3 linked regions of the Schizosaccharomyces pombe genome follow. The gene in region 3 interacts genetically with the main gene of each other region. Each region holds a gene or a part of one and is shown on either strand. Other genes may lie near its edges.

Evidence for each region. A genetic interaction does not mean that the proteins touch.
Region 1: mutations in cwf21 (region 3) and fsc1 together harm fitness more than expected from each alone (negative genetic interaction), as found in Schizosaccharomyces pombe (one large-scale study listed by BioGRID).
Region 2: mutations in cwf21 (region 3) and vps38 together harm fitness more than expected from each alone (negative genetic interaction), as found in Schizosaccharomyces pombe (one large-scale study listed by BioGRID).

What each region holds. Positions count from the first base shown.
Region 1 is NC_003424.3:898,725-903,729, forward strand, and holds fsc1 (fasciclin domain protein Fsc1), read right to left. Parts: upstream 3,047-5,005; 5' UTR 3,030-3,046; coding exon 843-3,029; 3' UTR 559-842; downstream 1-558. Other genes in the region: rps102 (40S ribosomal protein eS1), read right to left, coding at 1-225; DNA-directed RNA polymerase I and III subunit Rpc19, read left to right, coding at 4,377-4,448, 4,522-4,619, 4,668-4,744, 4,822-4,952. UniProt on the Schizosaccharomyces pombe protein: Required for the fusion of autophagosomes with the vacuole.
Region 2 is NC_003423.3:1,804,678-1,808,875, reverse strand, and holds vps38 (phophatidylinositol 3-kinase complex subunit Vps38), read right to left. Parts: upstream 2,646-4,198; 5' UTR 2,615-2,645; coding exon 2,378-2,614; intron 2,148-2,377; coding exon 1,977-2,147; intron 1,913-1,976; coding exon 896-1,912; 3' UTR 559-895; downstream 1-558. Other genes in the region: arrestin-related substrate adaptor Any1, read left to right, coding at 1-474. UniProt on the Schizosaccharomyces pombe protein: Involved in endosome-to-Golgi retrograde transport as part of the vps34 PI3-kinase complex II. Mediates the interaction between atg6 and the pik3-ppk19 core complex, leading to the recruitment of atg6 to the membrane.
Region 3 is NC_003424.3:2,561,965-2,565,921, forward strand, and holds cwf21 (protein Cwf21), read right to left. Parts: upstream 2,287-3,957; 5' UTR 2,000-2,286; coding exon 1,997-1,999; exon of another isoform or gene 1,926-1,996; coding exon 1,047-1,925; 3' UTR 513-1,046; downstream 1-512. Other genes in the region: rog1 (lipase), read left to right, coding at 2,315-2,342, 2,507-3,957. UniProt on the Schizosaccharomyces pombe protein: Involved in pre-mRNA splicing. May function at or prior to the first catalytic step of splicing at the catalytic center of the spliceosome. May do so by stabilizing the catalytic center or the position of the RNA substrate.

The sequences.
Region 1 (5,005 bases), 1.7 Mb from region 3:
CTTTTGCAAGTCAGCAAGGGAAACCTCCAAGATACGTCCCTTGAGGGAGTCATTGGCATTCTTTAGACCGGCTGTGCGGTTGACAAGAGTCTTTCCAACGTTCTTAACTTCGAAGAAGGCGGGAGCTTTAATGTCGTACCATTCCTTACGGGAAAAGGGGTCAACGACACGCTTCTTAATTCCCTTCTTGCCTTTGGAGAGTCTCTTGTTTTTTCCAACTGCCATTGTGGAGAAGTTTGGTTTCGTAAAAATTAGTTGTTCTCAAAGTGCTATTTGTGACTGTCCTTTTTTGAGGGTAGGGTAATAGTCTTATGATGTTTTGAACTGCGTTATAATAAATAACGTAATATATATTGTTCAGGGTAATAATTTACATTTATAGAATAGAATACGATGTGCCATTTGGAGCATTTAACAGTGTTAGTTAATACTTAATGTGGAGATGATAGTAGCCATTGAACGGTCATTAAGAAGTCTTTAAGCTATCATCTCGATTTTTTATTCTTCCATTTGCTTGTTTACACACAATTGTTTATCATAGCTACTCTTCAAACCCTCTCGTAAAATGATGGACTTTAATTAATATTTAAATGAAAATTTGAAAGGATGTAAGAATTATCGAATGAATGAGAATCATTGTCTTTCAAAAAACAGACGAAAGGCTTTTTTTGATAGGTTAAAAAAATATCCAATACTTAAAGATGGTAATTATACTAAGAGTAGAACCATTTTCCGAAAGCATAATACATAAAATTAATTGAGCATAAAAAAATGTAAACTAGCATAATCTTTTCAACAATGAACGTTAAGAAATTTAAACATAGGTCATTATATTTGTAGTTCTATACGGATAAAGACGAAGAATTTCGTCTTCCCGCCATAGTATCAGAATCTGCAGGAGCAAGCAAAGGCTCCCGTTCCCCTTGATTCATAAATCTGTTACGGAAAAATTTAAAATAAATTTTATAACAAAGTACACAAATTCCAACAGACAGTAATAGTCCCGAAATAGAAATGAAAGTTATTCTCCAACGATTTTGCCTCTTAGTCGGAATCGCGTTTTGCACAAAGTATACATTGCCAAGTTCTGAATATCCGTAATCCTGAATGCTTATCCAAGGACTACTATCCACAGATAACCGGGAACCAGAAATTACAAAATTGCGCTTTTCAGGATCAATTATATGCCTTTCTGCAAAACTAGAGTCTTTTGTATTCACATCAGAACCTGTTAAAGATGGAACAACAACCGGATACCCACTGTCTAACATATCCAACATTTCAAACTTATCAAGAAGCTCCAAAAACTCTTTTCTCCCTCCGGCAATAATCATGTCCTTTTGTGAAACCGAAAATGGTAATTTAACCTTGTCCACTAAATGCACCACTCCATCTTTCACTAACAAGTCCCGAGTTTGAACCTCATAAATTTCATTATTTATCCTCAATAAATCACGTTTGTTACGTGAGTTTGAGTCTTCATATACACCTTCGATTAAAAACTCTTTATTGGAAAGTGTAGTATAGTTCCCGCTGGCCCATGCCTCATCGCTTGAACCATAGAAAGCTATCCCCTCAAATGCATAGTCAAGCATGACGCTTTCTAGCAATTCCAAATTTTGTTGCAAAACAAGATGAACAAGACCTAATTGTGTCCATGCACTATTTTTTACTAAAAACCAGGTCACTTTGGTATAATCACCCAAACCCAATGAGGCAAGGTACCGAACACTGAAAGATATTTCATCCACAAGGATAAGCTGAGAAAGTAATGGTTGCGGAGGCTCTATATCTTTGTCTAAAACATATAGACTAACATTCCCAATATTTTCTGATTGAATACTGCGCGTCTCCACATTAACATACATTTCTCCAGCAGAACCAGTAGCAATACGGACAAGAGCATTAGTGTCTTCACCCACAGAATTTCCAGATTTGATATTTGTCACATACAATGCATACTTATTAGGCGCTGGTAGATCAAAATTTTCGATTATATGGTAATCAATATCAATGATTTCTCGATAAGCCCAATTAGTAGGAGCTAAAATTGCCCGTTTGCTTGTTTTATCAACAGATATAGATTTCCTTTCTCTCGAAAGCTTCTCGCTAAACCAAGCAGCCCCAATTCCTATTAGGTATTTTGCAGGAGTAAAACTTATAATTTCGGGATTGATAAGTGAAGACACAGTATGAATTGCTCCACTAAAAGTCAATAAATCATATTTTGTGGTGGAAACATCATTAATAAACAACTTTTTTTGGTCCTTATCAAACTTCATACTGATGGAAATCCCATTTTTATAATGAAAAGTCTTCGGTTCTATAACATCTTCAGCATAAACCCTTTGATTAACCAATATATGTTGATGGATGAGTGTTTTAACGTCTTCAGCAGCATACATTGAATACAAATATGCCAATTCCGTATTGGTATACACGTTTAAAAAGGCAGACGAGTCAGGAACTAACATAGTAACAGATGAATATTCACCAACCCAAGCGACGGATAAACGATGAAAAATTGAAAAATCTTTCTCAGAACTTAATATTTCGAGGGCTGGAGGCGGAAGATCTATAATGTTATCGATGACTTGAACGACGCCGCTGTCAGCACGCCAATTCGATTGAACTATTTGTGCATTGTTGACTTTATCATATGCCCTACCAGTTTCTGCTTTGTAATGAATTTTTAAAGCGATTTGCTGACCGTCTGAGCTTTTCAATTGAGTACGCAACACCGATCTATCAAGTTCTGTTGTATTTACGATATAATATAACAAATTGGGCTCAATCGAATCATCAGGAAAAGCCTCATTTAAAGGCGCGAAAAGTGTAAGTCCTTTGTTTCGATTTAAATAAGGAACCAGACGATTGCGTTGCAACCGTCTGATCAATTTTGAAAACTGAGATTTTGAAGACAGTAAATCTATAATCGAAGTAGATTTATCTTCATACTCATTTTTACCATTAGCAAATGATATAAATAGAAGAATAAATAAGAGATATAACCGAAATTGAAGGTTCATTGCGATTATGGCTTTGTTGGAGATGAAAGGTGAGGCAGCGATTTAGTTGCAATTCACCAAAATACTTTATAATTGAAAGAAAACTAAATTTCTTTTTCAAAGAATTGATCATTTAATAGAGACTTGAAACTATTAATCAATCTGGCACATTTATTGAAAAGTAGTGTCGTCCGCGAACAGTTGTGCTACAAACGAGTGTGCTTCTCAAATTGTTTCAGTTCAATAGAAAACTATTAATACGCAACAAACAAACAAAGAAGATGATTTTTAAATACTAGGACACGGTTCTTACGACACATTAACTTTAAATTACCAATTACCAGTACTGGCGAGGCGAATAATAAATATTAATTTTACTTAGTTAACAGTGATATTTTCTGAATATATTCTTTCTTTTAAAGTACTTTAATTAGAAATGATGAAGTATAATAAATTATAAATTGAGGAAATTTATACTTTTTATTGGAAAGTTTTTTATTTGTGATTATGCTGAATAAAAATGGCTTATTGAAACAATTGCTATATGATAGCTGTCGCAAAAATATAGATTTAAAAAAAATAAATAAATAAAATAAAAAATGAAGAACCGGCAATCAAATGTATCTTCTGGAAATCTTATTGATGCTAGTATCGTAAAATCAATTATTTAAAATGTCAAACACATATAAAAACCCAGCATATTATTTAAAAAAATGTCAATGAGATTTTTAGTACTTGCACTCTTCTATCTAATGCCATATTCGATGATGGTTAAAAATATCTTTGGAATAATCTCATTTATGATATGTTTTATATTTACTTCAATAGGTTCGGCTTAAGAGTTATACAGTAAACAATCAACATGCAAAACAGCCAGTGGTTCTTTTAACAGTAATAGTGTTACAAAAAAAAATTGATCATAGTTTTGTAAACATTTTGTATAATAAATGCTTATACTAAAGTCACGGCAGCAATCAAGTTTGATGATTAGTTGCTCATTTGTATGGGGTTTTTGTCAACATATAACTTGTGAGTGTCTAAAGACAATGAAATTTCTGTAAAGCTATAGGCTTAACTACAGTTATTTGACTAAATAATGCAAACACTGATAAAATACTTTAAAATTGAAACTCATTGACTCGTCAACAAAATCTTGTATTTTTTACCTGTCAACGATTTAACGCAGCCTCTTGTTGCTTCAGGATCATACGCTAAAATCTCTGCAAAAATATGCGTTAACCTACACTAAATACGGATTCTTCCTTTGGAAATTGAGCAGCGTTAGAAAATTTGTAAAGAGCCAAATATTGCTGTTTGCATAGAAGTTTCGCTGTATCTTTTCTTTTTTTTATAAAATAAACTTTAGACATGGCGGCAATGACAGACGTAACAGATCCTAGCTCAGTTGCTATGGAATCTGCAACTGAAAAAATAATTATCGTATGTGTTTGGCATAAGGATTTGATTTTCTTTAGCATTGTTCCTTCAATTAATATGCTAACTAAAGTTATAGCTTCCTGGTCATTCTGCTGATCTTACATCTGTGACATTTCAAATTCAAAAAGAGGACCATACGCTAGGCAATTCTCTTCGCTATGTCATTATGAAAAAGTAAATTGATATTAAATTGTAAACATATATTAACACTAATGTTTTCAGTCCTGAGGTTGAGTTTTGCGGTTACTCCATCCCACATCCATCTGAAGCAAAAATGAATTTTCGAATTCAGACAGCACGTAAGTGATTGAATGAAATATTAACTTATAGATTTGATTAATAATATTTTGGGACAAACTCAACTAACGAATTCAAGCTTCAACAACCGCTGTAGATGTTTTAAGAAAAGGGCTCGATGATTTGATTGACCTTTGTGATGCGGTTACAGAAAAATTTACTGAACAACTTCCTAGAGATACATCTACTACCATGGAGGTTGATGGATAAATTTGGTTATTTGTTCCCTTGGACTTTTCCATTTAAATTTCTATCATTCCATC
Region 2 (4,198 bases), on a different chromosome or scaffold from region 3:
ACTGGTTTTGCCCAAAATGACGGCAACGATTGGAAGATCAATAGAGTTACTTGGAGATTGGAGGAGCATATGCAGTTTAGTTGTCAACCATGTGAACGCCATCGTGATTTGGTAAAACCTCGACCTATTGAAGAAAAAAGAATTTTGAGTACACAAGATTTACAATCGGGATGGAAGTTCATTGATAATCAGATGTTTCTATCTACTCAAATTAACACATCTTCTTTAAGAGAGCCAAGCTGTGACGTGGAAATTCCTGCCCCTTTTTCCTTAAAAGTCTCTCATCATTTAATTTTTGAGACCATTGTTAATAGAAAAAAGAACGTTGCGGGAAACAATATGGGCAATGCCCGTATCTTACGAGTATCAGTCGTTCAGCCACTTACCACGCCAGCTGGTTTAGGTATTAGTTGGGATGAAGAATGCCCGCCAGTTTTTGAAAGTGTAGGACCCGCTCCGCCTGCCTATACCTAGAATATGTGGGTCGGATGTAACCGGAAGAGCTCGATCACCATCACATAACTATCAAAAAATGAACATGGCTCTTTTTATTTTTTAATTCACAAGTTTTATTAATTTAAGGGAACTATTTATAATATCTACATTCATCATTATCTGTTTATTTTTATATTTTAAACGTAAATGCATTGTATAGTAGTTGTCGCAATGACAATGAGTAATATGCCTTCGGCAAATGTCCATAAAAACTCTTCATTAAGATGATTAAAATTAAACCGTGAAATGGGTATATGAATTTCCAACAAAGAATACGAAAACGAAATTGATTGTTGAGAGTAAACTAGGGTGAAAAGATACAATTAAACGATAGACAAGTTATGCGTAGTTTTGCAATTAACGATAATTTAGGCTTATGGTGCCTAAGCTTATGGAATTGTTAAGGAGCGGTAGACGTTACTTGTACAAAAGATAGATGTTGTCCTGATAAAATAAATTGGAGCAGTTTTTTAAAGTTCCTGAGTATGTCCATGGATTGGTCAATAGGTAATCCAAAAGTTTCTAAAAAATCATTTACATCCTGGTTGAGAAGATAAATGGCATGTTCAAAAAGCTCAATTGGTCGAGTTGCTGGATAAAGGGGAAAGATACGCGTGGGGATGTCGGGTGTCAATGTATCCAGGATGGAGGATCTCGAAGATGCGCAAAGAATTGGATAAGCGAGTTCTTTTTCGAGATACTTTGAAAGAGTTTGAAGTAAATGCGCCAAAAATCCTATGGAAGCAGCCATTTCCACATTATTAATTTTATCTGGCTCAAAAGATAGGCGGAGATTGCGAATTGTAAACTCGTCATGATTGCCAGGCGATGGTTGGATTGGGTAAATTTTGGAAAGATGGGAAACGTGCATACGAATAGCATGTGCCATAAGGATTCGAATCTCTATATTGGTCTCTACTTTTGTTTTTAAAGAATTGGCAAGTTCCACATACTCAGCTTCATCTTTTTGAAGGGATTCTTTGGATTTGTTCAAAGTGTTCCTTTTTGAGGATAACCAGCTTTTCGTCTTGTCAAATTTCGTCCTCATCTGAGTGATGCTATTAATTTGTTTTTGCCAAAGATGTTCTAATTTAGCCAGTTCATCGATTTTTTCATCCCGAAGTAACATCCTTTTGTGCATCAAACGTATCTGCTGAAACTCCTCCTCCTGAAAATGAGCTCGAATTTCATGTTTAGCAATGTGCATTTCATCTATGCATTCAGCCAGTTTCAAAATTCGAGTGATTTTCTGAATAGTGTAACCATCCTTCCGCCTGTCTATAGAATATGTGGAGGCACTTTTTGGAAAGGAGGTCTGTCTCATAATATCCGAAGACTGGGATGTTGTGTAGATGTAAACGCCATCATTAAATTCACATAAAAGACCGTTTCGAATATGACAAACTGCAAAAACAGGCTACAAATAATATGTTAGTCAACACAAGGGAAACATAAGGTAAACCAAAAATATTCAACCGTACATCATTACCAATATAACGAAAATTACTGTCATATCTCAAAATTTTCCATTCTTTATGTAGCTTGAAGGCATGACTACTTGATGAGCACCAAGTCCTCACGATAAAGTACTCTTCGTGACGGTATTTTTGAAGCTTTTCGGTTACTTTTTCATCGACGTAAAAGATGTGATTCTAATGAGAGGTTAGACACAAAGAACATAAATACATACAAAATTTGTATATGGGTAAAAGAGATACAAGGTATAAACTATCAATTGAGGGCTTTGTTTCAAGGATTTGAGCAACGAAATTTTGGCAAATCACTTGTATAAACAAACTGATTAACCTTTTCAATCAAGCAAATAACCTAGATATAATGATACCATTCAGATACTTTTGTTTATCAAAGCATGTTCACATACAGCATTTCCGCTCGTTTCAGTAATATAAACAGGCAATTTCTTACTCTGCACATGCAATGATATAAAAATACGAATAGTTCCTTCGGAAATTGCACGTTTTAACTGCACATCTCGTTTCCACAAATTTTCCGTCGTATTGATCGCAAATTTGCTATGATTTTGAATTTCTTGAACATTTCTTATTTGTATTGATTTAAGCCTGGAAAGTCGGTAGTTTCCTGGTAATTCAAGCGACATTCTATCATGGTTAAAGCAATGAATGCTTTTGCTTCATCGCATCGCCCTACTTGGTAAACTCAGCTGAGTCTGGTGCTAGCGTAGGATAACAATATACTGGTTTAGTTCGTTATTGTCAGCAATACTACACTACGCAATGATACTCCACGTTGCATATCACTATATGTCACATGTTCACAATGTTCTATTTGCTCTATCAACTATTACATGATAAGTCATCAAGATGGAGATATAATATCATTCATGATAAGATAACTATCAGATATAATTCTTACTACTTCAAATATTATAAATTGAGAACAACTGAACCTCGTCCCTCAGTTCAGTTATAAGATATATTAGTGATAGGTAACATTATAACCTAGTTAATACAATACCTATACTCAGTTGCTACTCATACAACCTGTGTATTGTAATATAATAGATCACAAGGAAAACTCACCGCAGTTCTATGTATCCTTAAATCAGATACCAAACTGCGAAGCTAACATTATATGCACTTTATTGTCAGCAGCAAGACTTCACTAAGCCCTTTTGCGTGTCATTATATGCTACCATTAATTAATTGGATTATAATACTATACATAATATAATCGTTAAATGTATTTATATTAAATTATATTTAGATAATTCTGAAACTTTGCCGTAATATATCTTATTCTTAAAGCTGGCCACTGATCCTTTAGCTCAGAACTCATTCTTTAAGGAAATTTAGTGTCTTCCGTAATGGTTGAATGAATTTAAAAAGGTTCAATAAAATAATATAGCAGAAATTAACTGTAAAGAAATTTTTTAATTGATAACTGATGTGAGTTTGAATCAATGGCGAAAATTTTTTTTTTTAATTGCTTTATTACTGTCTTCGAAAATTGATGTACTATGGCCCAGATCATTATGAGCAAGAAGGTCTGAGCCAAAAAAAAAAAAAAAAAAAAAAAAAAAAAAAGAGTAAATCAAACATTATTACCAACAAAAAAGCACGCTTTCAGTTTTTACTATTCATTTGTCCGCTGAAGAAGCACAAAAAAAAATTTGATACTTTGTTTTTGAAAACAATTTAACCATATTTACAGTCAGCAAGAAATAAAACGCAGAAGAAGTAAGTGAAATAAAAAATAATTTAGAGCAATATTATAAGCAACCGAACAGAATTGCTATGATCAAAATGGTATTTAAGAAATTTAAACAAATTCAATAGTAAACGCTGTTACATGTTGCTAAAAACATTATCGGCCAAACCAGTAGAACTTCCAGAGTGAGCTTATTTTCCTTATTATAGGTTGGACTTGCTAATGTTGTTTAAATAATTTAACTATAGATATATTCTGTAAACAATCGAAGTGTCATCAAGCCCGTCCTGAAGAAACCCGATAAAAGATCTAAAAACACAAATTAATTTACAGTCACAATAAACAAATTAAATATTTTTTAGTATGCGGCGATAATTTTCGTTAAGAAAGGAACCAGTAACAGTGGGTATTGCATATGTGCATACAATTGGAATGTGGAGATGAAATGTAAATAAAATCTGCAAACATGATAAAATGAAACTTCAAGTTATTTTATAATTTAAATCCACTTTGA
Region 3 (3,957 bases):
AACAAACAAGCTAGTCGAAAATTTTTAACTAGTTTTTAATTCAGATTTCGATAGAGTAATCGCGTTAAATATATTTACCTGTCCAATAAAAAATTTCGATGAAAAAATGTTTTTTTTCTTTTCAATTATCTACAGAAAACTAATTAATTAATGCTTTGCGACTTAGCAAGAAGTTGTAATACGTGTTTAATGTACTGTAGTATCTAGGAAATTGAAAGTTATATGAAACAATAGATATTTATTTTAAAAAAGTTAAAGCGATTGGAAATCAAGATTTGAATGTATGATTAATTTTGTTTAGAAAAAAAAATGGGTTTTCTCTCAATGTCGCAGTGTCATCCTTGTGCAGGGGCCATGCTCTAAACAACGAGTTAGTATGACTCGAACCTTGGTAAATATTGTTACTTACAATCTTCTCTGTATCGTTTCAATTTGACCAAAGTGATCCGAAGATCATCAGAAAATAAAAATTGTATTATTTATAATTAAACTTATATTATAATTTTTTTTATAAATTGGTTTTATTATATAATTAATATTGCTTTAAAGCAAGTTCATTTTGTAAAATATATATAATAAACATTATTGGTATAAAAGCTCTGAGATTTACAGTATGCAGGAAAACAAAGCCGCCAAGAGCTACTTTGACTAAAATCGCGTGAATAATCTCGAAAATCTTTATTAAAAAGATTCTTTTATGCTTAATTAATGAATTTAAAATACAAATGTAAAAGCGTAATTGTAAATTTAAAATTGCTTCATTATCCCTCCGTGAAAAAGAAAAATATCAAATGATGTTTAAATCGTGCAACTTAACAGCCTTAATATAAAGTCGATAGTATTTTTTCTTTGAAGAATAATATTTTTTATATCATTGAACAGTCGTGTGCTTCATGGGATTTGACTAACGTGTATTGCTAACCAAATATTCATATTAATCCAACGATTGTTGATGACCCGAATAATTATCCAATATTAATAAACAATACATGCTTGCATGAATTGCCTATTATATTATTGTTTTAACTGGCCTAACTCTTTGGGCCTCATACAATTTCGCCACCCTCAGGAGAGGAATCCCTGTCCACAACAGGAATTGACTCATTCTTCGTATAGGAGGGTGAATTGCTTCTTTCTCTCCTTCTATGATAAGAATACCTTTCCCGTTCATCGTGTCTATTATAATCTCTTCTGGGTAATTCAGAACGCCTTGAGTAACTTTCATTACTACTCCGTCGTCTTTCTAATTCATCGTAGGAGGAATACGAATCGTAATGTCTTCTTCTATTTTCATTGTAATTGTCCACATGCCTTTTTGAATTTAATGATTTCCTCTCGGAATAACGCGGGTAATCATAATAATCATCGTCAACTGATGATCTCAAATCGTCTCTTTCTTCTAATCGCCCATCATCGTCATTTTTCGAGTGAAATCCTCTTGTTTCTTTTCTTTTCTGAGGTTGAAGAATGGATTCAAAATTTTTTCCTTTTTCAGTAGATTTTTGTAATTGCAATTCTTTAAGTAACTGTTCTCGATATTTTTGTACTAAAATTTCTACATCAGCTTCATCTAAAGATTTAGTTTTCGATTGTGATTGCTCATCTTTTATAATTGCTTTAGGTGGCTTCGGGTTTTCAGTCCCAAAATTTGTATTGGAATCAGATGCCGCTGCATCAGTGCTGTGTTGGGAACTGACCTCCTCCAACAACTGCTCTCTGTACAACAACAACTTCGACTCAATTTGTCGACGGCATTCATGCTCGCTTATTGAAGGATCTTGAACCCGTTTTTCCAGAGCTTTTGCATTTCGATTTGACTGTAGATTTGTATTTTTGTCATATTTTTTTACGTGAGACAGATTCCGCATTACGTATCCATTTGTTCCTGATCCTCTTGGAGTGGGTAATCCAATTCCATTATACGACTTTAATTGTTAGCAAAGGACTCAATTTTGGTGTCTTCTTCATTAAAGAAAGCTTTTTATGCATCTCTTACCATCTTGCTTTATTTCCCGTGAAGTCGTTCGATTTTTGCTTTTGCTCAAAAATTAGAAAAACTGAGTTTATATAGGTTCGTCGAACAGCTAGTCTAACAAAGGAATCGAGCGAACAAATTTTACCGGTAGGACACTGATAAATTCGCGTTACTTTTTACGTGATATGAGCAACTAGCGATTTACTAATTGAAACAGATAAAATTTTATCCCTATTCGTTGACCGGTATTGAAAAATAATTGATATCTCTCACCTTTCACGAATAGCTAATTTTCAGATTTACTAGTTTTTGAGTTGTCATCGCTTGACTTCTGACATTATGAATGTATATGTACAACGAGATGACGGTAAGTTACTTTAAACAAAATTTACCACTCCTTTAAATTGTATTTGCAAGTTGATATTATCAGCTCGTTATTTAAAGTTTCGATTTGTTATGCTTGTTTCGATGCAAAAATTTTGGGATGGCATATAAATATTTAATACTTGTTCTAACATTGGCATGGTACAGTTGGTTTAGGTCAAATACATCGATTTCGAATTTTTGTGCAGAGTGGGGGCAATTTGCATTCGGCAACGTCTTCTACAACTGTGCCCCCCACTGTGAACCTCAATTCAGTGACTAAGAAAGAGAGTGGTAGCATCGAGGATAGAGCAGGTTCAGGTGGGATGACAATCTCTAGTGGGGAGAATATCAGCAAGCAAATCTCAGAGAATAATAGTAGCACGAATCCGAAGCATGCAAATTCAGAATCCTCACCTCTTCTTTCCAGCGATTTTTCATCTTCTTCAAAAGATTATCATAAAGTTGGTGCGTTTACAGATAATACCAATGCAATCAACATACCTGAACAAACAAGAGGTGTCTCTCATACCTCTTCTTCTCCTTCTGTAGGTACTTCATTCTCTTCTATTAATCTTCGTGAAGTAAAAAATCCCTTGGCAGGAAGCGACTCTACAGCTCCCTTCATAAATTCGACTAACTCGGTACTTTGGATTCGTGTCAGGAATAGAGAAGCACGTTTCCGCCAGGCAGCCTATCTTCAAGGTCCATTTACATTATGCGTTAGCGTTTGGAATGACCAATTTTTTGATGAAAAAAATTCTTTATTAAACTTTGATCCTCAGGTACAGCCCTCTACTAGTTTTTGGGTCTGTGTACCTTATTCATGTTTTTCCAATCAGCAGCCTATTTACATTGAAATTGCAAGTCAGGCGATTTTTAAAGATAGATCTATTAACTTTGAGCTTGCTATATCGCAATCTCAACATTCCATTCGAGCCATGTCAGCTGCTGATATCGATACTCTTCATGCATTCCCTGCTCTACACGTTGAACATCAAACTCCGGAAAATTTATGGCGTCTTCCGTATTCTTCATTTCATTCAAAGAATTCACATTTGGTGGTGCTAACTCATGGAATGCATTCTAATGTTGGTGCTGATATGGAGTATTTAAAAGAAAAACTAATAGAATCATCAAAATCTGTTAAGGAACTAGTAGTTGTTCGAGGATTTACCGGTAACTACTGTCAGACTGAGAAAGGGGTTCGCTGGCTGGGTAAACGACTTGGTGAATGGCTGTTGGATATTACGGGCTGGGGAAGTGCATCTTTTCCTCGATATTCCCATATATCAGTTGTCGCCCACTCACTTGGTGGATTGGTTCAAACATATGCTGTTGGTTATGTACATGCAAAAACGCACGGTGCCTTTTTTCAGGCTATTCACCCTGTGTTTTTTGTAACTTTGGCAACTCCTTGGCTCGGTGTTGCTGGTGAACATCCTTCTTATATTGGTAAGGCTTTGTCCTATGGTATCATTGGTAAGACAGGACAAGACTTATCTTTAACTCCACTGAATCACTCCATTGAATCAAGACCTTTCCTTGTTTTGATGTCTGATCCTTCCACGCCTTTCTTTCAAGCTGTTTCGTTTTTTGAAAAAAGAATATTATTTGCA